Linked DNA regions of Rattus norvegicus. The protein of the gene in region 1 interacts with the protein of each later gene in a pairwise test. Links are inferred from orthologs where the notes say so. Each region holds a gene or a part of one and is shown on either strand. Other genes may lie near its edges.

Region 1 (6,620 bases):
GTCCTGCTTGCTCTGAACGGTCTTTTGGTGCTGGGAAGATGGCTCAGGGTTTAAAGCACATGTAAACATGTGAGGACCCGCATTCAGATCCCAGAACCTACATAAATGCCTTGGAAGTGAGAGACGGGATCCCCAGAGCAGCAGGCTGACGGACAAGACTCGCTATATCAGGGAGACCAGGGTTTGACTGAGAGACCCTTCTCAGTCAGGCAGTGGTGGCACTTGCCTTTAGTCCCAACACTGAGGAGACAGACACAGGCGGATCTCTGAGTTTGAAGCCAGCCTGGTTTACAGAGCAAGTTCCAGGGCAGTAGAGACTACACAGAGAAACCCTGTCTTGGAAAGAGAAAGAGGGAAGGAGGGAGGGAGGGAGGGAAAGAGAGGAGAGAGAGACCCTCTTCAAGGAATAAGGTGGAGGAGGAAGAGTAATTAAGGACAATCCAATTTATCTACCTCCAGCCTCTGTGCACCCTCATACGCGTGCATGTGCTCACGTGTGTGCACATACACACACACACACACACACACACACACACACACACACACACACGATATGGAAAAGAAAAAAAGAGCCCATAGTTGTCTCGTAGGTTGGATCCTATTCTCTGCTTTTCCAGATGAAGAACCTGAGGTATATACAATGGTAAAGAACTTGCTGAGGGGGGTTGGGGATTTAGCTCAGTGGTAGAGCGCTTGCCTAGGAAGCGCAAGGCCCTGGGTTCGGTCCCCAGCTCCGAAAAAAAGAACCAAAAAAAAAAAAAAAAGAACTTGCTGAGGGTCCATCCAACAACTGGTGTGTTGTGGACAGACTGCACGTGGGGCAGCCTGACTCTCAAGTGTTCATAAGTGTGGCAGTGCCACTTCTCTTTGTGCAGTGTGACATAAGTGCCAGCTGCCTCCATGGAAACCAGCAAGAACTGAAGGAGTCAAGAAAGCAGGCATTCTGACAACAGCCTGGAGAGCCAGACTGACCTGCCCTGAAACTATCCTGTTCACTGACCTGTCTTTATGCAAAGTGTGTTCCTTCCGGTTTAAACTGGTGCCCCTTTGGGCCGAGGATGGAGCCCCATAATCCTGAGTGTGTTAGATGTGCTTACACCTGAGCTGAACCCCAGCCCTCAGCTTAGAAAGTTCCCCTCTGGGGTTGGGGATTTAGTTCAGCGGTAGAGCGCTTGCCTAGCGACCGCAAGGCCCTGGGTTCGGTCCCCAGCTCCGGAAAAAAAAAGAAAAAAAAAGAAAGTTCCCCACCTGAGACCCAAGGTCTCTAGAAGAAAAGGTGTGTACAGGGAGATCAGTAGGAGAATTCTCTCACAAGCCACTTGGTAGGGGCTGGGCTGTACCTGGCTTTCATGGTGGGGCCAGTGTTGAAGGCAGGGAAAGTCGCCAAGGATGTTAGGAGGTAGAGCTCTCTCACATGTAAAACCACACAGCTCTCTTTTATTGGGCACATGGTGAAAATACATACTCAACCAAACCAAAGTCATCAAACTGACAGCAGTCCTGGATACTAAGAATCCCAAGAGCAGGGCCTGAGACTCTAAATGGCAATAGGACAGTCCCTGCCTGGTCCTTCCCCCTCCAACTTTGATGCTCCAGCTGGAGGCTACCAGGGTAGACAGACCTGGATCCTCATTCTAGACCATTCTTTGAGCCAGATGCCTCTTTATTGGAGTCTCATCCTTTTGGCTTGAGTCCAGCAGCCAGGTCTTCAAGCAGGTTCTCCTGCCTGGAGGCCACAATCCCAGCTTGGCCTCACTTGTGGCCCCAAGGCACAGGGTGAATGGGGACTTTGGTCTTTGGCACAGAGATGTTCCCTTTGTTTAAAGGCACAAGACAGAAGGCAGCTGGGGCACTGATGAAAGGGACTGTCCCATGAACAGAAGCCTAGCACCAGACCAGAGAAGGCCAGCCCTGGTATGAAATATGCCCCGGGCAGAGGGTAGATGCTGGCCTGGGAGCATGTGGCACTGTGGTAACTCGGCCAGCAAGGTATGCTTCTCCCTCTTTTTTTTTTTTCTTTGCTGTTCACAGCACCTAGAACAGGGCTTGTCATCCAGACAGCATCACCCCACTGTGCACAGGAATGCATGAAGCACAATGGCTGTTTCTTCCTCCAGAAAGGCACTTACAGTTTAGCTTGGCCCAAAAAGGCAGGCGAAAGCTGAGACACCAGTACTCAACTCACACCTTGGAGCTGAAGGGCCAGTTAAGGTGGCTCTAGCCATACAGCCCCACCTCCCCTTCCTCTGCCTCCTCCAGCTGTGGCCCATCTGGGACAACCTGGTCCATCTCCCTTCGGTCAGACCGTGGAGGAGAGACTTGGCTGCAATCCTCCCTCAACCAGGGATGTAGCAGGATTCCCAGGGCCACAAGTCGCTCTGAAGGCTCCCTGCGGAGGAGACAGCGGATGAGGCATCGAGCAGAGGCTGATAGGCCCTCAGGCAGGGCAAAGGTCCCTCTACGGATCTTGCCAAAGAGCAGGGCTGGTTCAGAGTCCTGGAACGGGTATCGGCCAGCCAGCATGGTGAAGAGCGCCACGCCCAGGCTCCAGACATCAGCCGCTCTGCCGGAGTAGGATGGCCGGGAGCTGAGTATCTCTGGTCCCACATAGGCAGGGCACGCGTGCTTGTCCCACAGAGAGTCGTCTGGTCCAGTCATCACACAGGCATCCTCCAGGTTCTCCAGCACCAACTTCGTCCTGGGTCACAGACAGAAAGATCAGGTCCTACTCAGGTCCTCTGGAAAAGCAGCCACTAAGCCATCTCCCCACTCTGTATTTTATTTTATTTTATTTTATTTTATTTTATTTTATTTTATTTTATTTTATTTTATTTTATTTTATTTTTGGCCAGGTGTTAGTGGTGGGGTGGGTCTGTTTCTCAGAAAAAGGATTTTACTACGTTGTCCAGTCTGGGCTTATTACTATCCTCCTGTCTCTGCCTCCTGAGCGCTTGTTTGGTTTGGTTTGGGCTTTGAAGGGTCAGAGTCTTACCTACCTCTGACTGTCCTGGAACTCTGTAGACCAGGCTGGCCTTGAACTCAGAGATCAGACTGCCTCTGCCTTCTGAGTGAGCCATCACCACTTAGCTTCTTTCTTTTTTCATTTATTTTTATTATATTTTACGCAAATGGGTGTTTTCCCTGCCTGTATGTTTGGCACCATGAGCATGCAGTGCCTGTGAAGAGTTTGTCAGATACCTTGGACTTGGAGTTATAGGTGATTGTTAGCCACGGTGTGGGCTGGGAACTGAATATGGGTCCTTTGCTTGCAATGTGTACTTTAACCACTGACTCATCTCTACAACTCTTCCCTCCCCCAGCACACTTTTTTTTTTCTGAGACAGGATCTCATAGCCTGAGACATAGCCCTGACTGGGCTGAAACTCACCCTGTAGACCTAGCTGACCTCCAGTTCACAGAGATCCCATTTACCTCTGCCTCAGCCAGGATTTAAAGGTGTATGCTACCACCCGCAGCTATTCCTTTAGTCCTTATTTAATTTGAAACAGTAGCTCACCAATTGAATAAACTAGCTGGCCAGTGATCTCTGGGGATCCACCTGTCTCTGCCCCTTGCCCCCATGCTCAGGTGGTAGGGCTACAGATTCCACGGAACAGCTGTCACTCAGCGCTGGGGATTTCTTTCCCTGTCTTTCTTTTGCTGCTGAGGATCGAATGCAGAGCCTTCCACATGCTAAGCACAGGTATACCACTGAGCTGTACCTTAGCTCTTCCTAGGTTACTCTACTCTCCTGGACCTCACTTTCCCCACCATGGCCTACCTCTCAAGTGTGCCTCTGGGGTCACACTCACCTCTCACAGTTGCTGAAGACAAATCGACGCAACTTGAGGTCGCGCAAGATGAGCCCGTGCTTGTGGCAGTGTGCCACCGCACTAGCCATCTGTCGGAAAAGCGCGGCAGCCTCGGGCTCGGGGATACCGCGGCGGCTGCGCACCAGACTGTGCAAGTCCCCATGGGTCTTCGTGAAAAAGGTGTATAGGAGCTGAGAGCCCAGCAGGACCTCTGTGGGACGGGCCACGTGCTGGTGGGTAGGCAGTCTTGCATACGGTGCCAGCACCGCCTGGGCCTCGCTGGCGGGATACACCTGCGAACAGAGTCAGGAGTAAGCACCAAGGACCTAGCAAGTTAGGCTGGCTCAGCAAAAGGCGACAGCCAATTCTGTGAGCTACACCTACAGAGGCCCTTGCTTAGCAAATCACTCATAGACAAATATCAGCCGATTCTCCACAAAACCACAAGTCAGGAGAGCCCGGGGCCACAAGGCCAGCAAGTATCACATTTGGGACTAGAACCTGTGCACCCATCTCTGCTTTAAGTCACCTGGTGTGACTTAGGCCTCAGAAACTAGGATGTAACCTAGACAAAAAACGGATCCTGGAGGCAGATCACCACTGTAATCCCCCTTTTCCCACACATCCAGTCTAAGAACAGCTCAGTAGCCTGTATGCCGCCCCTGCTCCGCTGACTAGACTCACAGCCATTGCTCCTGTTCTCCTGGTGTCTACAGTGCAGCACAAGCAAGCCATAACCATATATTCCAAAGAAAGATGCTAGAATCCGGAATTTTTTTTTTTTTTACCTCTCCCGGAAAATTTTATATTGCAATCTCGGACTTAAACTAGTCTTTACTAGGAAAGTGTGGGTTGTTATTTTAGAAGGGAGCACCTATTTTAAAAGTGCCATCCTGACATTGTAGTTTAATCCCAGGACTCAGGAAGCAGAGGCAGTGGCTCTCTGACTTTGAGGCTTAGCCTGGTCTACAAAGTAGCCAGAGCTATGCAGGTGAGACTCTGATTCAGAAAAAAAAAAAATGTGGACCTACTTGACTTAGGAAAAGTGGCCCAAATGATCCAAAGACACCACAGGAAAAAGCTCCCCTGTGTTGGGGGCACAAGCAGTGCAAAGGCCCTGAGGTAATCAAGACATCAACCTGTTCTCAAATTGCAGGCAAAGCTCGAAGGTGGCCAGGAGGACGAGGGAGGCAGTCATATGGGTGGGCCATGAGGCAGCTGGGAACAGCTCAGAGTTTGTGGATACAAACACCTGGAAGGAGGGCCCAGTTATGATGGAGAAAGAAACCAAAGTTCAGAAAAAGGAAGTGGCCTGTGAGAGGCCACCCTGGATGCCTGCTAGAAGCTAGTGTCACAGAGTTGATGTGGCACTTTGTTGCTTTTGACTTTAAACTCAGGTGTGCTGTAAAACGTGAACCATGGGACCTTAAAAGAAAGATCTAGGGTAGCACGGAGGAAATAAATACACAGACTACCCTTTCTTTCTCCCCCAGAGCTTGGTCCTGTCCCGGCACCTTTGCACAGGAGAAGGGGTGAGCTCTCTGAGACAAGGTCTCTCTGTGTCTCTGTGGCTGTCCTGAAACTCAGTAGGTAGACCAGGCTGGCCTCGAACTTACAAAAATACACCACTCAAGTGCTGCAATTAAAGGTGAGTATCAATGTGGTTGGCCCTTTGTGCCTCCTATACCCACAGCGGGGACACACTGCCTTTGGACCCTCCTCCCCATGCCTCCTTCAACTTCTGACACGGCCGCCCTTTATCATCTTCGAGGCCCTCCCAGACTGCCTTATGCTCCCCTGCATCCCTACGTGTCTCCTCCTCTCTTTGCTTCTCCCTCCCCACTGACACCAGCTTCTTTTCCATCATTGCCCATGCTCTTCTGCTGTGTGCACATGTGTGTGTGTGCACATGTGTGTGTAAGTGTGCACGTGTGTGTGTGTGTGTGTGTTCTTGTGGCAGGCAGAGGAAAGCCTCTGTTGTCATTTCTCAGATTCCATCCCATCTTTGTCTTAGGATTTTTTTTTTTTTTTTGGTTCTTTTTTTTTCGGAGCTGGGGACCGAACCCAGGGCCTTGCACTTCCTAGGTAAGCGCTCTACCACTGAGCTAAATCCCCAGCCCCAGGATTTATTTTTAATCGTGTGTGACTGTCTGTCTGTCTGTGTATGAGTATGTGCACACGAGTGAGATGCTTGAGGAGGTCAGAGCCCTGGAATTATATAGGCAGTGGCGAGCTGCCTCAAGCGGATGCCAGGAACAGAACTTGGGTCTCCGAGAGAGTTACAAGCACTCTTAATCACTGAGCCATGTCTCCAGCTCTTTATTCATTCTCTTTCTCTCCTCTCTACCTGAGATAGAGTCTCTCACTGACCTCTGAACAAACTCCCTGAATAGGCTAGCTGGCTGACCAGCTATCTGGCTCCAGAGACCTGCCCGCTTCCACTTTCCCAGTGTAGAATTACAAGCGTGCAAGCAATAGCACTGGGTCTAGATTTGTTTTTTCATTTTCAAACAGGTTCTCAGTATGTACGCTAGGCTTGCCTGAATATCAGAGCAAGCCTCTTGCCTCAGCCTCTCTAGTGCTAGGATTACAGGCATGTGCCACCACACCCCGATTGGGTCTGGTTTTTGACCAAGGCAAGTAAGTACATTGTACGTGTGGTGCTCCATGTCAGTTGAAGAACCCAGTGATAACCTACAAAGCTAGAAAGCGGCAGTCCTCTGGATCCCAGGCCTTTTGCAGGGTCCTGGGATGCTAGGGGGAGAGCCCGTAGGATATACCTTGCAGGTGTACTCTGTGCCTGTGGGG
Region 2 (7,467 bases), on another chromosome or scaffold:
GTAGGGTGCAAGGTCAGGGTGCAGGGGACCTGGTCACTCCAGTGAGAGTGCTGGAGTCTCCTATAGCCATGCTGACTCCATAGGCGAACCACTGGCAGCCACGATCCATAGCCCTATCTTCAGGGGATTACTGGAGACCTGCTTCACAGATTCAAGTGTTCCTGTGGGTAACCCCGTAACTCAGTCTGCATTTCCTTAACATCAAGAGATGTTACGCGGCTCAACATGATCACTATAAAACACACTCAAATGTACCTCTTGGCTGGCCAGTTACTATGGCAACAGTGATCCCTCAAGCAAACAGGTGCTTACCCTAAAGACAGGCTCCTTCCCACAGTTAGGAGCTAAGGTCAGAGCTTGCTTTGGGGCACCCACTCTCAGGAACTTTTGTTTCTTGGACTAATAGTATTCTGTGCAGAATCTAATATCAATCAACTTCCTCAGGGCAGTCCTGGTTAGGACACGTCTTTCTTCTGAGTCTTCTCAAAATGTGCTTAGATTGTGACTTCACTGACTAGCAGTCTTTGTCCCTCCAGACTGGTTGGTCCAAGGCCATAAACTACCCAGCATGGCTACTGAAGATCAAACTCAGGTCTTCTGTGAAAGCAGTGTGCACTCAGCTGATAGCTTTTATGCAGGACCTATCCTTGATTGAAGTCAGGTCCTATGCTTGCTGGGCAAGCATTTTGCCAATGGAGCTGTCTCTGCAGGCCTCTCTGCCCATGACTGGAATGATCCAGCTGTGTTTGATGGTACTCTCCTTTGCCTATATATGCCATATTACCCTTGGTTTGTCCTCTGCTGCCAATGTAACTGTAACTAGCCTCGGTGTCATCATGGCCCTGTCTTTACTGATAGGCTGGTCACATGGCATATTCTTGCCAAGTGGGTGTACTTGACAATGAACAAATGTTACTAGTTACCTTTTGTTTGGCTTCATTGTTTTGTTTGAGATGGCCTCACTCTGTAGCCCAGGCTGGCCTCACACTTAGAGCAATCCTTCCTCCTCAGCCCCTCAAATGCTGAGCCTGCAGTCATGAGCCACCACACCCAACTTCTTTCTCTTGTGCTAGGCACACGGGTACTGTAGGGCTTCAGCCCCAGCCCTTTGGTTTATTCTCCGTTGTCTTTATGACTACCCCCAGACTCAGTCTCCCCAGTCCCCTCTCAAAGACAGACACACAGGCCACAGGAAAGTCTGCATTTTATTTGAGCCCACAACCCCTGGAGGATCAGCCCCCACCAGATGCAACCCTTCCCCCACACCTTCACAAAACACTGATTCTCTCACAGAGCTAAAATGACACCCTAGTTACCAACTACAGCCACCCCTTCCTGTCCCTAGGCCAGTATAGCCTTCTATTCTGAGGACTTGGTTCCCTTTCCTCGGCTGGCTTCTCACTTGTATTCTAAGTCCTCTCCTTAAAACCCTCCCTCCCTGACTAGGTTCTCATGTGCACAATCATCCAGAGTGGCTTCCTGCCTAATGTCCATGCCAGGCCTGGCAGCCTCCCCCCGACACCCAACTAGGACTACCTGCAAAAACACACTTGTTTTAAGACTCCAGAGACCAGGGATCAGGCTGGCTCCTCTGATTCCCTGAGGGCCTTGGTTTCTCAGTTGCACTGAAGGGGTACAGAAACTGACTATGCCAAATAACCCATAATGGGGATAGGCAGAGGGGAGACCTAGACACGGATGCACAGGGAAGTGAAATGGAGGGACAGGGTGAAGCTGGAGGCACAGGTACACCAGAACTGCCTCCTCCTGTACCCTAGGCACTGCGGGTCCTCTGGCTTCGTGCCTTATACACCTCAATTAGCAGATCCTTCACATACTGGATCTCCCGTTCCACTGACTCTGCCCTCTCCCTCAGCTCCCGATTCCGCGCCTCTAGCCCTTGGCACTCGCCCTCCAGGGCCTCGCCCTCTGCCCGCTTCCTCTGGCGGTACCTGAGAGCAGCTGACTTATTCTGGTCTCTCTTCTTTTGCTTGCGGTCCCCTCGGGTGCTGGCAGGACTAGGATAGGGGGCTGGTCGGGAGGGTGAAGGCAGAGGGGCCAGAGGAGGAGGCTGCTGGGGGACAGGCAGGGTTGTCAAGCCTGAATCCCCTGGCCCAGCCTCACTGCGGCAGTAAACAGCTAGCAAGTCCAGGGTATCCAGGGTAGGAGGCTGCGGGAGATCAAAGGTGGGCAAGGGTAAGGGCAGGGGCAGAGAGGGTGCTGGGGGTGGGGGTGGAGGTGGGGAGGGCGGTGGAAGGAGTGGGGCATCAAGGAAGAAGTCTTCCATCTGTTCTAGCTCCTTCTTGAGTAGGGATGCCATGGCTTCCAGGTCAGGGGGGGCAGGGGAGGGTGGGGGGAGAGTGCCTGGGGGCAGAGGGGCCTCCAGAGGAAGGAGGGCTGTGAAGTCCACCCGCTCGGTCATCCAATCAGAGAAGCCGTCACCTGAGGATGTGGGGGGAGGACATAAAAATCTCTAAGGTCTGTGCTTTATCCACTTGGTGTTCATTCATGCCCCATTCACTCAATGTGACAAGTGACCAGCCAGCCAACCATCCAATCTATAGACCTGTCAGCAACCAGTGAGTTAGGGAAGAAACTAATCAACCAATCAACCAACCAGCTAGCTAGTTTACCCATCAAGCCACTAACTAATGAACTAACCAACCAGCCAGCCAGCCAGCCAATCATACCTAGTTCATCAGCCAACCACCCAACAAATCATTAATCAATGAACAAGACAGCCAGCCAATCATCCAATCAGTTCACCAGGCCACCTGCTAATAAACTAATCAACTCATTAGCCAATCAATGAACAAGCCAACCAATGATTCAAATCAGTCAACCAACCGATTAATTGACCAACTAACCGATGAAATAATCAGTCAGCCACTCAGTGAAGCACTCGCCCAACTAATGGCCCACCCGACGAAGGTCAGCTCCCATCTCTATAATCCTTCTCCTTGACCAGGTTGGTCGACTGCACCCCACACTAGTGTCTCCTCTCTTTCCCTCACTTGTTTACTTATCTATTGTCGACAGAGTCTTGTGTAGACTAGGATAGCCTTGGACCTGTTCTGTAGTCTGTAGCTGAGGACAACCCTTAAACTTCTGACTCTCTCCCAGAGTGCTGGGATTATACTCACACACTTTCTCTCCTCCCTCCCCCCTCTGTGTGTTTGCGTGTGTGGGCGTGACTCTCTCCATCTTTATTTGCTCTCCTTTTGTGTTTCTCAGATGTTTGACAACTATGTTCTTACCAGGCTGCCTAGGTTGGCCTGGGCTCAAGAGGATGAGAAGCCTCTAACAGGGGAAGTTATGGACATAAGCCACCAGGCACAGTCTAGGACAACCATCTGTTGACTGCCTGCCTCAGAATCTCTGAGATAGCGCTCCCCTCAGGACTTATCATGGCTCCCTTTGCCCATCCCTTAGCCCTCAATCCAGAGGTTGTCTACTTAGAGAAGGCTGACTTCTCAACCATGTCTTCCTTTCAGCTAAGCTTTGGCTTCCCACCTCTGTCTCCTGATGCTTCCACGAGCTTTGGTATCCCTTGCTCTGCACCTTGCACATGAAGAACAGGGCTGGGCACACTGCAGGCCCTCTGTACTGATCTTGTGAATGAATAAATCCTTCCTTTTCTGTCCTTCCACACCCCGCCACCTTAACCCACCTCTCTTTTTCACCTGTTTCTTACCTGCCAGGGGCTCTCCCCCCCCTGGAAGCCCGCCCTCCAGGGCACCCCCAAGGACCTCATAGGGGCCCAGGGGGGCAGGGGCCAGGGGGAGTTTCCCATAGTCTACGAGCCAGCCCAGCCCGCTAGCTGGGAGCAGGGCCCTGTCCAGCTCCAGTCCCAGGGTCGCCAGGAGTGACATGGCTGAGGCACAGGTGCAGGGCTGCGATGGCAATGGAGGCTGCACCAACAACTGGGAGGCAGCGTGGAAGATTGTTCAGCTGGGTGAAGACAGGCACCAAGGCGAAGGTGGAGGGCCTGTGAGGAAGACAAGGTGGCGTGGGTGGGGTTGAGTCAAAGCTGCTTGACCCACAAGCTACCCACACTTTTCTTCTTTCTGCAAATTCCAGAGCTCCATACATTCCCAAGGCAACTTTTGGAAACTCCCCAGCCCCATCTCCTCCCTCAACACAGAAACCTAGTGTTCTCCCAGGGGAATTACTTCCAGCCCCTCCTACCTACCTCATCTTATTGCTCTTCGTAAAAAAATTCAATCCCAAGGTAATTTTATTTTCTTCTAGCCGTGCCCCTTCCGCATCAATATTTTCTTTAGACTATACGCCCTTTAGAGTTCACAGGGGTTCCCAGAATAATTCTGCCATGCCTTGGGCCCTTCATCAGTGTTACACACACAAATCCCACTCTTCCCTTAAAAGTTTTAGGTGACTTCTACAGATTCTACGGGAAGCCCCGCCCACACTCCTGTCTGTCAAGTCAGTTCCCGCCCCCAACTAGCAAGTCCCTAGAGGCCCCGCCCCTTGGTTCTAGCTCCAAGTCTTTCTTAAAGGTGTTCTTTAGCCTTCCCTGTCAATCTAAGCCAGTCCCCGCCCCAGCAGGTGCCTGATTGGAGGGAAGTTGGACCAGTGTCAGAGCCTCGAGGAACTCCACCCTTCCTCGCTGATTGCTCGCTAAGCCGCAAGACGAAAGCTCAGACCCTGGACCGGATTCATTGTTACGCCACTACCCTCCTGGGGGGACCAGTGCGTGTGTTTAGCCAATTACCGGCCGCCCTCCGTAGTTCAGGCCGGGAATAAGGTAATGCGCATGCGCAATAGAGTGTGGGTTCGTATCCTCTGAGGGGAAAGGAGGAAGAGGGTCTGTGAATTAGTGCGCAGGCGCAATGGCGCGCGAACCGACCTTAAAAGCCCCCAGACTCTGCGGAAGCACACCCTCCCCCACGCCTGGAGCCTAGTGCGCTTGCTCAGCGGATGCGCCGGCCACCGACTTCCCTCTTCTGCGCCTGCGCGACCGTGGTTCCTCATATCGTCTTCCCCACCCCCTCCCCACGAGGCTGACCCGTGAAGCCCCGCGAGCTCTGTGAAAGGGCGGGAAAGGCGGTTGGAGAGGGAGGGGCGAGCGGTTACTCACTCCATGGCTGCGAAAAGGAGAGGAGGCAACGGCGGCGGCGGCCTCAGTTGAAGAGTCGGTGTGAGCAGAGAGTGAAGTCGCGGTGAGCGCGGAAACGGGGCGGGGGACACGACGAGATCGCGGCTACAGAGCCATTGCACGGGCGGAGGCGGCGTGGCAGGAGCGTTAAGGGAGACTGCTGAGAGGGTTGAAAATGAGGCGGCCCCGGGGCCTGGGAACAAATATACCGGGGGCGGCGCAGCGCGGGATGCCTGGATCCCTCCGCGCTCCGCCCTCGCGGGGCCCCGACGGGGCGGTGGCGACCCCGGGCCCGCCATGTCGCCCTGACCCTTCACTCACTGCTTCAGGCTGGGGGCCCGGACTCTGTTTCCTGTATCGGTTGGATCCTATTCGATCTCTCTTACACCCGTAACCAGCTCATCCCGTTATCTATCCCTGCTTCACAAATTTGCCACCAGTCCCTAAAACCGATGTCGCTCCGAGAGACCTCGTGGGTTAAGCTCATCGCGGAATGGCGAGTTCAAGCTAGCTTAGGCTTCATAGACGAGTTCAAGGGAGCAACAGCGAGATGTCGCTGTTTATAGATATACGCACAAATATACCAGCTATGGAAAGTAGGCCACGGAGTCCTAATCAGGACTCTTAAACCTTCTTGTTTGTTTTAACGTTTATTGTGTATGTATGTGGTGGTCAAAGAAGAGCTAGCAGGAGTTGGTTCTCCTACTATATAGTAGGGTCCCAGGGATGGAACTCAGGTCAGATTGTTTGGCAGCCTTTCTCCACTGAGTCATTTCATCTACTACTAAAATCGTTTTATTTTCTTTTAGATTAAGCCCCCACCCCTGGGAGGGGGCCTGATTTCACCCCTTTTTATCTCCCTACCCCCGATTCTTAGCCAGCCAACATATCCATATGATCATTCTGTGTGTCCCACCTCCAAGGTTTCTGTTTCCAGCCATCCCTACTTGCTACATGCTGTGCTCATCATGCCACCCTCTTAGGTTTTGCCCCTTGCTCTGACTTCCTTGCAGTCCTTGCTCTCTTGCTGACCCCACTAGATAAATTGTTTCTTGATCCTGTCTGTCCCCCAGGATGATGGGGCGGTTTTCCGCCCCGTGTTCGAGTATAGCCGTCATTCCATGTGGAAGCCAGTCAGCCTATCATATTTGTAGCAGCTGAGAGACTGAATGGGTGGAGATGGAACTCAAGAGTGCTTGCCTGTTGCACACAAGAACCTTAGCACCCAGCACCACATGGACGGTGCTTGGTAGTTGTCTATATTCCCAGCATTTGGAAGATGGAAGCAGAAGGAATCATGAATTCAAGGTCATACTGGCTGGCCTCAGTGTGTTTTTAAAAAGAAAAAGCTCAAAGGCCAGGCCTGGTATCTTACCTACTTAAGAGGCCAAGGCGGGAGTATTGGAAGTCAAGGTCAGGGCCTGAGCTGCTTTGAGATAGTTCAGGTGGTAATCTCTAAACCCAACCCTCTTGAGTTCCATCCCCAGAACCCAAAAGCAACTCTATAGACAGACGGTTGTCCTCTGGCCTTCACCATCACCACGTGTGGTGACAGGTCTGAATGCTGACTAGGAGTGTGATTTAAAAAAAAAAAGTTCATGGCTTGCCTGGACTAGAAAGTGAGTTCTTAGCCTTCTAGGGAACTTACAAAGACCCTGATTTAAAAAAACAATTATACTGGGCTGGGGGTGGGGGATTGGTGGCAGAGTATTGGCTAGAGTGCTGCTTTCCAGGACCTGGTTTCTATTCCTGGTACTGTAAAAGAAAAAAGATTGGAGCAGGTGAGGAAAACTGATTTTGAAAGTTACAAGCAGGAAGTCCTTGGCAATTTTACTCTTGGAGTGGGCTCTCTTAAAAGATTTATGTATGAGTACACTGTAGCTGTCTTCAGACACACCAGAAGAGGGTATCAGATCCCATTACAGATGGTTGTGAGCCACCATGTGGTTGCTGGGAATTGAACTCAGGACCTTTGGATGGGTCAGTGTTTTTTTTTTTTTTTTTTTTTTTTCCCAGAGCTGGGGACCGAACCCAGGGCCTTACGCTTGCTAGGCAAGCACTCTACCACTGGGCTAAATCCCCAACCACCACCACCACCCCTTTTTTCTTTTTTTCGGAGCTGGGGACCAAACCCAGGGCCTTGCGCTTGCTAGGCAAGTGCTTTACCACTGAGCCAAATCCCCAACCCGGGTCAGTGTTCTTAAGCGCTGAGACATCTCTCCAGCCTGGAGTGGGCACTCGTATCTGCTGCCAGTACAGGTAACCATGAGATGTGATGTGTTCAGACTCCAGCCCTAGCTTACCAGCTATGGGCTGCATTAATTCTGTGTGGAGTCTGTTTAGACTAGATA
Region 3 (7,258 bases), on another chromosome or scaffold:
TTGATGATCTGGACTTGGAGAGCTGCTGCCCCACCCCCATGCTTCCTGTGGCTTCTGCTATAGACTGGATCATCCACAACTGCCTGTCCTCTGTGAGTCAAGAGAGCTGTATAGAGTGGAGCAGGACTGCCACTGGTGGTCTTGGGGACTCAGGGCCAGCCACCAGGACACCAGACTTGCCTAGAGTGGTCTTGCTTGTGGGGTAGGGAGAGCTTAGGTCAAGGTGAACTGAAGCTGGTCAGGTTCTAAATAGATGAGCTGGTATTCACCCTCTATACACAATCCCCTTCTTAAAGGCCAGCAGTCTGCAATTCCCCCAACCTGAGCTGGTCTATTTCTATGCTGGTTTTAGCATTTACCTGCCGTCCACCATGGCAAAGATCCCCAGTCCATCCTGTCGACTGCCTGAGTAGGTGCTCAGCATGGGTCTCGCTGCAGTAGAAGACTCCTTACTTGGGTCTTCTACATCCACCTCACTGGCCAACACAGCCTAGCTTCTGCTCGCCAACAAGGGTGAGCCAAAAGCCTGCCGCAGAAGTGGGGCTGCTGCTGTATCATCCTACCCACACCCGGGCCCCACCTTGTTCCCTGCCCCCAGCACACTCCTCCTAGATCAGGTCCTCCACCCAGCCTGCCAGCCCTTCGTTGGACCTCTGTCTTAGAAGGCAAGTTTCACAAAAGCTGAGCTGTTCATCTTGTGTTCAGTTGGCATCCCTGATAGTTTGTAGTGCATGCTGAGCAATCACCAGTGATAGGAAAACTGAAGGCCATTCTCTGCCAACTAATGGGCACCCAGAACAGCTCCAGTCTGAGCTGGCTAAACAGTACTTCCAGTCTTTTGTCAATACCTGGCAAGGGCTGTAAGTCACCATGGTGAGGGTGGCTAGATCTTAGCTGACTCTTTGGGTCTTTTACCTCAGGGTGCACCTAACAGATCAGGTGTGGTGACACACGGTCTATAACCCCAGCACTTGGAAGGTTCAAGGTCATCCCTGGCCACATATCAAGTTCAAGGTCAACCTGGGCTATGGGAAACCCTGTTTAGAGCATTGCCAGGGTGGACATGTGACATTACATAGAAGTGGAACAGCTGTAGTTCTCACGCACAAAGAACATCTGCCAAGTGAAGGTTAGTCATTGTCTCCAAGGGCCTCCACCAGTTTCTGCCCCGCTGTCACTCAGGCCCTTCCTCCCCCCACCATATCCTTGTGCTGGATTAAGCTGCCCCTGGGCCAAATGGAATAATGTTGAGGGTGATGGTAGGCTTTTTACCTCGCCTTGGGAGGATCTGTAGTAACAAACTGAAGGGTTGGAGTGGGGCTTGCCACCTGTCACAGGAAATAGTAGCTGTATCCCTTAAGCCTAAGAGAAACCTAATCCTCTTTGTGTTCAAGGACTGTACCTTATCTAGGTACTTACACAGCAGGTATCTGGCACAAGGCCAGTATGAACAGGTGCAATTCTGGGCTGGCCCTCACTAACCCAGAGCCCCCTCCCTCCAGCTAGTCTTTACCTGTCTCACTACCTGAACAGCTCAACTCATCCAGGTAGCTATCGTATTCAACCCAGACCTTGTGCAGTCTATTAGAAAGAATGACACAGAAAACTTCCATGGCTACTTTCACTACAAAATAATTTATTACAGCAAACACAGCATCACAAGACTATGTACAAGCACAAAGCACCTGACTACCCTATTAAGGAACTCTCTTCTTCCCCCTTGCCTTACGGACCTCTTCTATCAGGTCTTTTAGATACTGAATCTCTTTGGCGAGAGAATCTGCCTTCTCTTTCAGAGCCTCGTTCTTCTTTTCTAGCTCTTTACACTCGCCAGTGAGGGCTTCCTGCTCAGCCCTCTTCTTCTGGCGGTACCTAGTAGCTGCTGTCTTGTTTTGCTCCATCTTTTTCAGCTTCTTATCCAACTTTTCAGTCTTCACTTTAGCTGTCACACTAACTCCAGGTGGGTCATAAGGTTTGGGTCGAGAACCACGAGGAACACCTGGAGAAGGCAGACTGTCTGGTGGGGCCCTGGAGGTGGAAGGGCTGTGTTGGGGAGAGCCCAGGTAGGACTCAGGGCTCATACAGATGCCACTGTCACTATCAGAGGGAGTGTCTTCCTCCTTTACACACTGAGGGGTTAGAGTAATATAAGCAGCAGAGTCAGGCTTCCTATCTCCTTCAGAGATATCAACCTCACTTCCCAGCTCTAAACTAAAGGAATGATCTGGAGTGGAAGACAGAAACCCTGGGGAACAGGGAAGAGGCTGCAAGAATGTAAAGGGGGCAGCCTGGTCGACTTTTATTACACTTTCTGGGAGATGGCCAATTGGGTTCACTGTCTGAGGGGGCTCCTTATTAGTCTCTTGGACTAGAGGGGCAAAAAGATCACATGTGTCATCCAACGTGGCCAAAAGCTCATCTGGCATGGTTTCCAGGTCATCCATTCGAAACAGAGCATCGAAGTCAAACTCTTTCAGGTCCATTTTCTCCAACATCCAATCTGTCCCGGAAAAGGCATCCTCTGGGGAAAAAAATTTCAGGAGAGAACGGTTCATACTAGAGGCAGAAAACCTTTAGAACACCAAACCCACATGAAAAGAGCACACTGGTGCAGGTGTCCTCCCTACTCACCCTTGCCGGTGTCTGAGGCACTGACCAACCCATCCATAGCCAGCCATTCTGAGGAGCCCGCCTTGTCGCTGGAGAACCCATGAGGTTTGAAGTGCTTGGCCACCTCCAGATAGTCATCTAAGAGACCTAGGCTTTCTTCAGCCCCCAAACCCGACTGGTCGAAGGGGGACATTAAGTCCCCCGCCAACACTTCGCTGTTCAGGAAGCTCATCTCGGTCATGTTGTAGGGATTTGCTGGTATCGAGGAATGTGCTTAACTCGAAGGTATCTTTGTCCGTTACAGCAACGCTGCTGCTGGGTTTCGTGAAGAGCCTGCATAAGGATCCAAAAGCAAGTTCAATCATCTTTCTATCTAGGATGCTGGATGACAAAATCCCAAAAGCTTCTAAATGGAGAGCACGTGGGCTCAAGGCCATTGTGTAAGCTTCCCCAGCCGCCAGCTCGGGTTGCACAAGATGGAGGCTTAGCTTTGCTTCACCGGCCACCCGGAGGAAGCAGCTTGTCCTCAAGTCCTAATACGGCCAAGGCCGTCGCGCCCCGCCCCCGTGACTCACACCCCCCCCCCGCCCCACCGCCATCTTGGCCTCGCCACGTTCGCAGAATGACACCGGGAACCCGGGGGGGCGCGAGACGACTAAGTTAAGAGAGGACGAAGAGGAAGTAGCAGGGTTTTAGGCACTACTCCCTCCACGCCGCCTGCCCAACCCTCCCCGTGTGCGCCGGCGTTGCGGGGCCACCCAAACAAGGCCGACGCGTCTGGCCGCTTGTAAAGCCGCGTATGCTGGTCAACGCGCCCAGGCCGCACCCAAACACAGCAAAGCACACGCCCGCGCAGTCGGCCCAATACTCACGCCATGGCTTAAGCCGGTGGGGGTTGCCGCTGCAGAGCCTGGTGCTGCTGCCGCCGCTGCAAAGGCCAACGCTGCCGCAGGCTCTGCTGCCTCTAATACGCCATGGTGGCCGCAAGCCCTGCGGGAGGGGAAGAGGAAAGGAACAGCGTACAGAGAGACATCTACCACAGAGCAAGCAGAAATGGCGGCGACACGCCCTAAACCCGCCTTTTATAGAATCGGTGAGGGACGCAGTACACCCCGTATCCTCCCACCGTGGTCACGTGATCCCGCCGCCGCTCCACCTAACCCTATCCCATTGACGCTCTGGCCCGTCCAAACCCTTCTCCGCTGTGCTCGGGGAGTAACTGGGGCGTTACAGAGTATCCTGAAGGCCCCATGAAGGAAGAAAAGTGCACTACTTTATAGGTTTGCGACCAACTGAAGTCACGTTCCGGAGTGCGGAGGGATCGCTCGTTACGGAACTTCCGGTGTCTTACAGGGCGTGGAGAGACACCTAACCAAAGCTATGACGGTCAAAGCCAAAGCTGCCTGGTTATCACGCGAGACGCCGTAGGAGCGCGCGTCGAGCTGATTGGCCCAGGCGTGACGAGTCATCTAAACCTTAAGTTTCTATTGGCTCTGAACCTGGGCGCCCTAGGAGCACTAATATCGGGAAGAGCCACCAGAGGTTCCGGGTACCAGACTCTTACAGCTACCGACTCATCAGAGGTCACCCCAATGTAGTTGCTCTCTCCGGCATCGCTCCCGGGCAGCTTTGGTCCAGCACGGAGCAAACAGCTTTCCAGGAGTGACACTTGGGCTGAAAGCCCTCTTTCCCTGTATTTGTTGTTCTCAGAACCAAATGGGCAGAGCTTTAGGCATATAGAAAGGTCCTCTGGAGTTACCTGGTCCAATCCTGTCAGTCCAGGGACCGCACTTTGAGACAGGGCGTTCATGTTGGGGCCTTATTGGGAGATACTCCGGTTCCTCCAGCCCTGCATCTTTCCTCTGAATCCTGTACTGGGAAAATATACCTAACCTTAGATCTAACCTACTCTAAAATATGCCCATCACTGCTGGTTTGTATAGGGTCAGTTCCCTTAATATTGTGTTTTATTCAGTTGGATCTCAAGCCCTAGAGTAGTTCTGATTAACTCCCAAGTCTTAACTTCCTGGTATAGCCTTACCAAGAAGTCATCCTGGTGAGTGAGCAGCTGCTTAAGTGGTTGGAAGCCCCAAGTACTGGTCAAGGACAACTCACCATAAAGGATGCTGTTTTGGAAGTGCTGAGAGGCCCTCTTCCCAACTCCAGCCTGCAATCTTTTGAGTTTCCACGTCTTTTTAAGTGACTCATACAAATACCACTCAATTGGCACAGTGCCCGCCCCTTACTGCTCAGTAATTATTTGCAAGCCAAGTACTCCAGTACACACAATCCTAGCACTCGGGCACCATGGTTCAAGGTCATCCTTGATTACATGGTTATTGATTGCTATTTATTAATTCAAACCTAATTCCCAAGTCCCTCTCTCCCTAACTCCATGATTCATCTTCCTTCCTCAGAGGACCTTTCATTATTATTTACTGAGACTAAAGCAACTAAATAAATAACGCACAAGGCCTACATAATGAGATGTTTCTATCGACAAAGAAGTCATGAGTACATGTGCACACAAACAGAAGTTTCCTAGTCTCTCCATGCAAAGGATAACTATGTCCTCCCTTTGCTCTGGAAACAGAAACAGGAGCCACAGTTATATTGTTAAGTAGACATCCCTTACATGTTTCTGTCCCCTAAGTGTAATGTATCCTACAAATGTTTTTTAACTTATGCTGAATTTGTAACCCCGTGATGTATTTGCTAAACTCCTGAACCTGTGATACATGACTGCCTCTTGCTATACAAAACTGTGTCTCCCCAGAAACCTTCCACATGGCACAAGCTTGCACTTCTTTTTATGGCCGCCTTTCTAACAGCTAATTATCCTGACAGCTGTTTCCTATCACATGCTTCTACCCCACAGGCAGTCTTGAGTCCCCCACTCTTCTGTTCAGGTGCTAACAGCCAATTATCCCAACAGCTGTTTTCTATCAACCCTAATGTTTTCCCATAAAAGGGACCTCCAACACCAGTGAGGGGCTGCTTGGCTGGCCAGTCTAAATAAAGTTTGCTTAACCAAACAGTCAAGGAAATGTTTTTTTTTCTCAGCTCTAACCAAAGGCTCCTGAACATACAGGTTGGTCATACAGAGGTTTAAAACCATTGACCCTGATTTGACATTATAGAGATCATAGGAGAATGTCTGGTGGCTTCTTTCCCCCCATCCTAATCCTAGCACCATGTAAGAAAATACCTGATACTACATACACAAGTCAGAGTTGTTGGAAAGGAGATTTTTATTTTCTTCTTCCCATGCTGCAGAAGACGCTGTTTTCACCAGTTCAATTCCTCTCCTTCAAGGAGCAAAAAGGAATAAAGGTTCTCTGGGCCTTAGAGCTAAGCTGCTCCTACATGGGCCCAGTCAAGATAGGACACAAAGATTAGTGACTACCAGCTTAACACAATGACCACCAGAGAAGGGCAGGCAAGTGACTGGAAGGCAAGTTGTGGACCTGGCCTGAGACCAAGGGTTTAAAGACTACAAGGTGATCAAAATAAAAGTTGACACCCGCCTCACTCCCACCTGCAGTTAAATATAGAACTCTACATGCTGGTATTCTGGACACTTAGTCTGAGAGGCTTACAACCGCCCAGCCTGGTACGAGGGTCAACTCTGTTCCCAAGTGCCTCATCATTTACCTCGGCCTTGAGCTTTATACTAAAAAATCTAGAGTTGTAGCAGATGTTCTTGGTTTTATCAAGTCAAAATCCCAAGGAAGTGTACCTTGGTAGAAGGCTCTGAACACACGGTGCATCCTGCTCTCAGGACCCCCAGCCTAAAGCTGAGTCATCTTAGCCATTCGGGCCCTTCAGTGGATTACAGTGGAGCAAAGTCAGCCAGGGTCAACTCCAGATGCTGGGCCACTCCGACAGTTTTTCTATCTTTATTCTTAAGTCTCAACTGTTAATACAAAGAAAAATACTGCTATCCTCAATTCTGTTTTTGGGAAAGAGCAACAGAGAAGAAGCAAAATAAACCTGGATTTACGTGGTTACCGGGGTAATGAGCAGTAAATACCTCCCAGACAGAAGTAGGGGCCTAACAGTGGCATTTCCTCCAGGCAAAAATGGGAGTAATTGGAGAGCAAGGCAGAGCGGTGGCACGGCCAACTGGGTCTCTCAACAAAGTGTCAGAGGGAAGCAGGGCAGGGTATCTTTTCTTCCAGCCAAGCATCCCAGAGCATGTAGCTGCCTCCCATATTTATGACAATGGATGACAGCAAAGAAGGCGCACCAGCTAATCCACAAACCACCAGGACAGAGCTGGTCCCACGTTTCCTTGTTCTGAGGATTTCTAAGAGGTTCTTGCTTATAAGATGACCAAGTCATGATTTTGGTTTTACAAAGCACAGTCGAAAGTCAAAGCTGTTCATAAAGACAGGAAATAAACTCATTGCTTTTCCTAAATTCACAATGGCAAACAAATTCATTGCTTTCCCTAAATTCAATAACATATGGCTGTGATTTAGGACTTCTGGAATCTTGAGCATCTTCAAGTTTTGGGGATCATTTGTAATTCTTTCTGGCATCCAGAATGGAATCAGTTCAGAGACGACAGCTTAGGAGTCATCCTAATACTTATGACAGGAAATCTAAGTCCTATCTAACTGGTTCTGCAGACTCTATCAACTCT

Evidence for each region.
Region 2: the proteins of Trib3 (region 1) and Atf5 interact in a two-hybrid assay, tested with the Homo sapiens proteins (2 studies listed by BioGRID and IntAct). The link is inferred for Rattus norvegicus from reciprocal best matches to the Homo sapiens genes TRIB3 and ATF5.
Region 3: the proteins of Trib3 (region 1) and Atf4 interact in binary tests that used the Homo sapiens proteins (3 or more experiments, as listed by UniProt). The link is inferred for Rattus norvegicus from reciprocal best matches to the Homo sapiens genes TRIB3 and ATF4.

The regions. Positions count from the first base shown.
Region 1 is NC_086021.1:161,267,935-161,274,554, forward strand, and holds the end of Trib3 (tribbles homolog 3), read right to left. Parts: coding exon 6,593-6,620; intron 4,106-6,592; coding exon 3,813-4,105; intron 2,699-3,812; coding exon 2,218-2,698; 3' UTR 2,005-2,217; downstream 1-2,004. UniProt on the Homo sapiens protein: Inactive protein kinase which acts as a regulator of the integrated stress response (ISR), a process for adaptation to various stress. Inhibits the transcriptional activity of DDIT3/CHOP and is involved in DDIT3/CHOP-dependent cell death during ER stress.
Region 2 is NC_086019.1:104,430,907-104,438,373, forward strand, and holds Atf5 (cyclic AMP-dependent transcription factor ATF-5), read right to left. Parts: upstream 3,890-7,467; 5' UTR 3,873-3,889; coding exon 3,695-3,872; intron 2,443-3,694; coding exon 1,775-2,442; 3' UTR 1,608-1,774; downstream 1-1,607.
Region 3 is NC_086025.1:113,681,089-113,688,346, reverse strand, and holds Atf4 (cyclic AMP-dependent transcription factor ATF-4), read right to left. Parts: upstream 3,667-7,258; 5' UTR 3,483-3,666; intron 2,944-3,482; 5' UTR 2,852-2,943; coding exon 2,632-2,851; intron 2,557-2,631; coding exon of another isoform or gene 2,522-2,556; coding exon 1,698-2,521; 3' UTR 1,608-1,697; downstream 1-1,607. UniProt on the Homo sapiens protein: Transcription factor that binds the cAMP response element (CRE) (consensus: 5'-GTGACGT[AC][AG]-3') and displays two biological functions, as regulator of metabolic and redox processes under normal cellular conditions, and as master transcription factor during integrated stress response (ISR).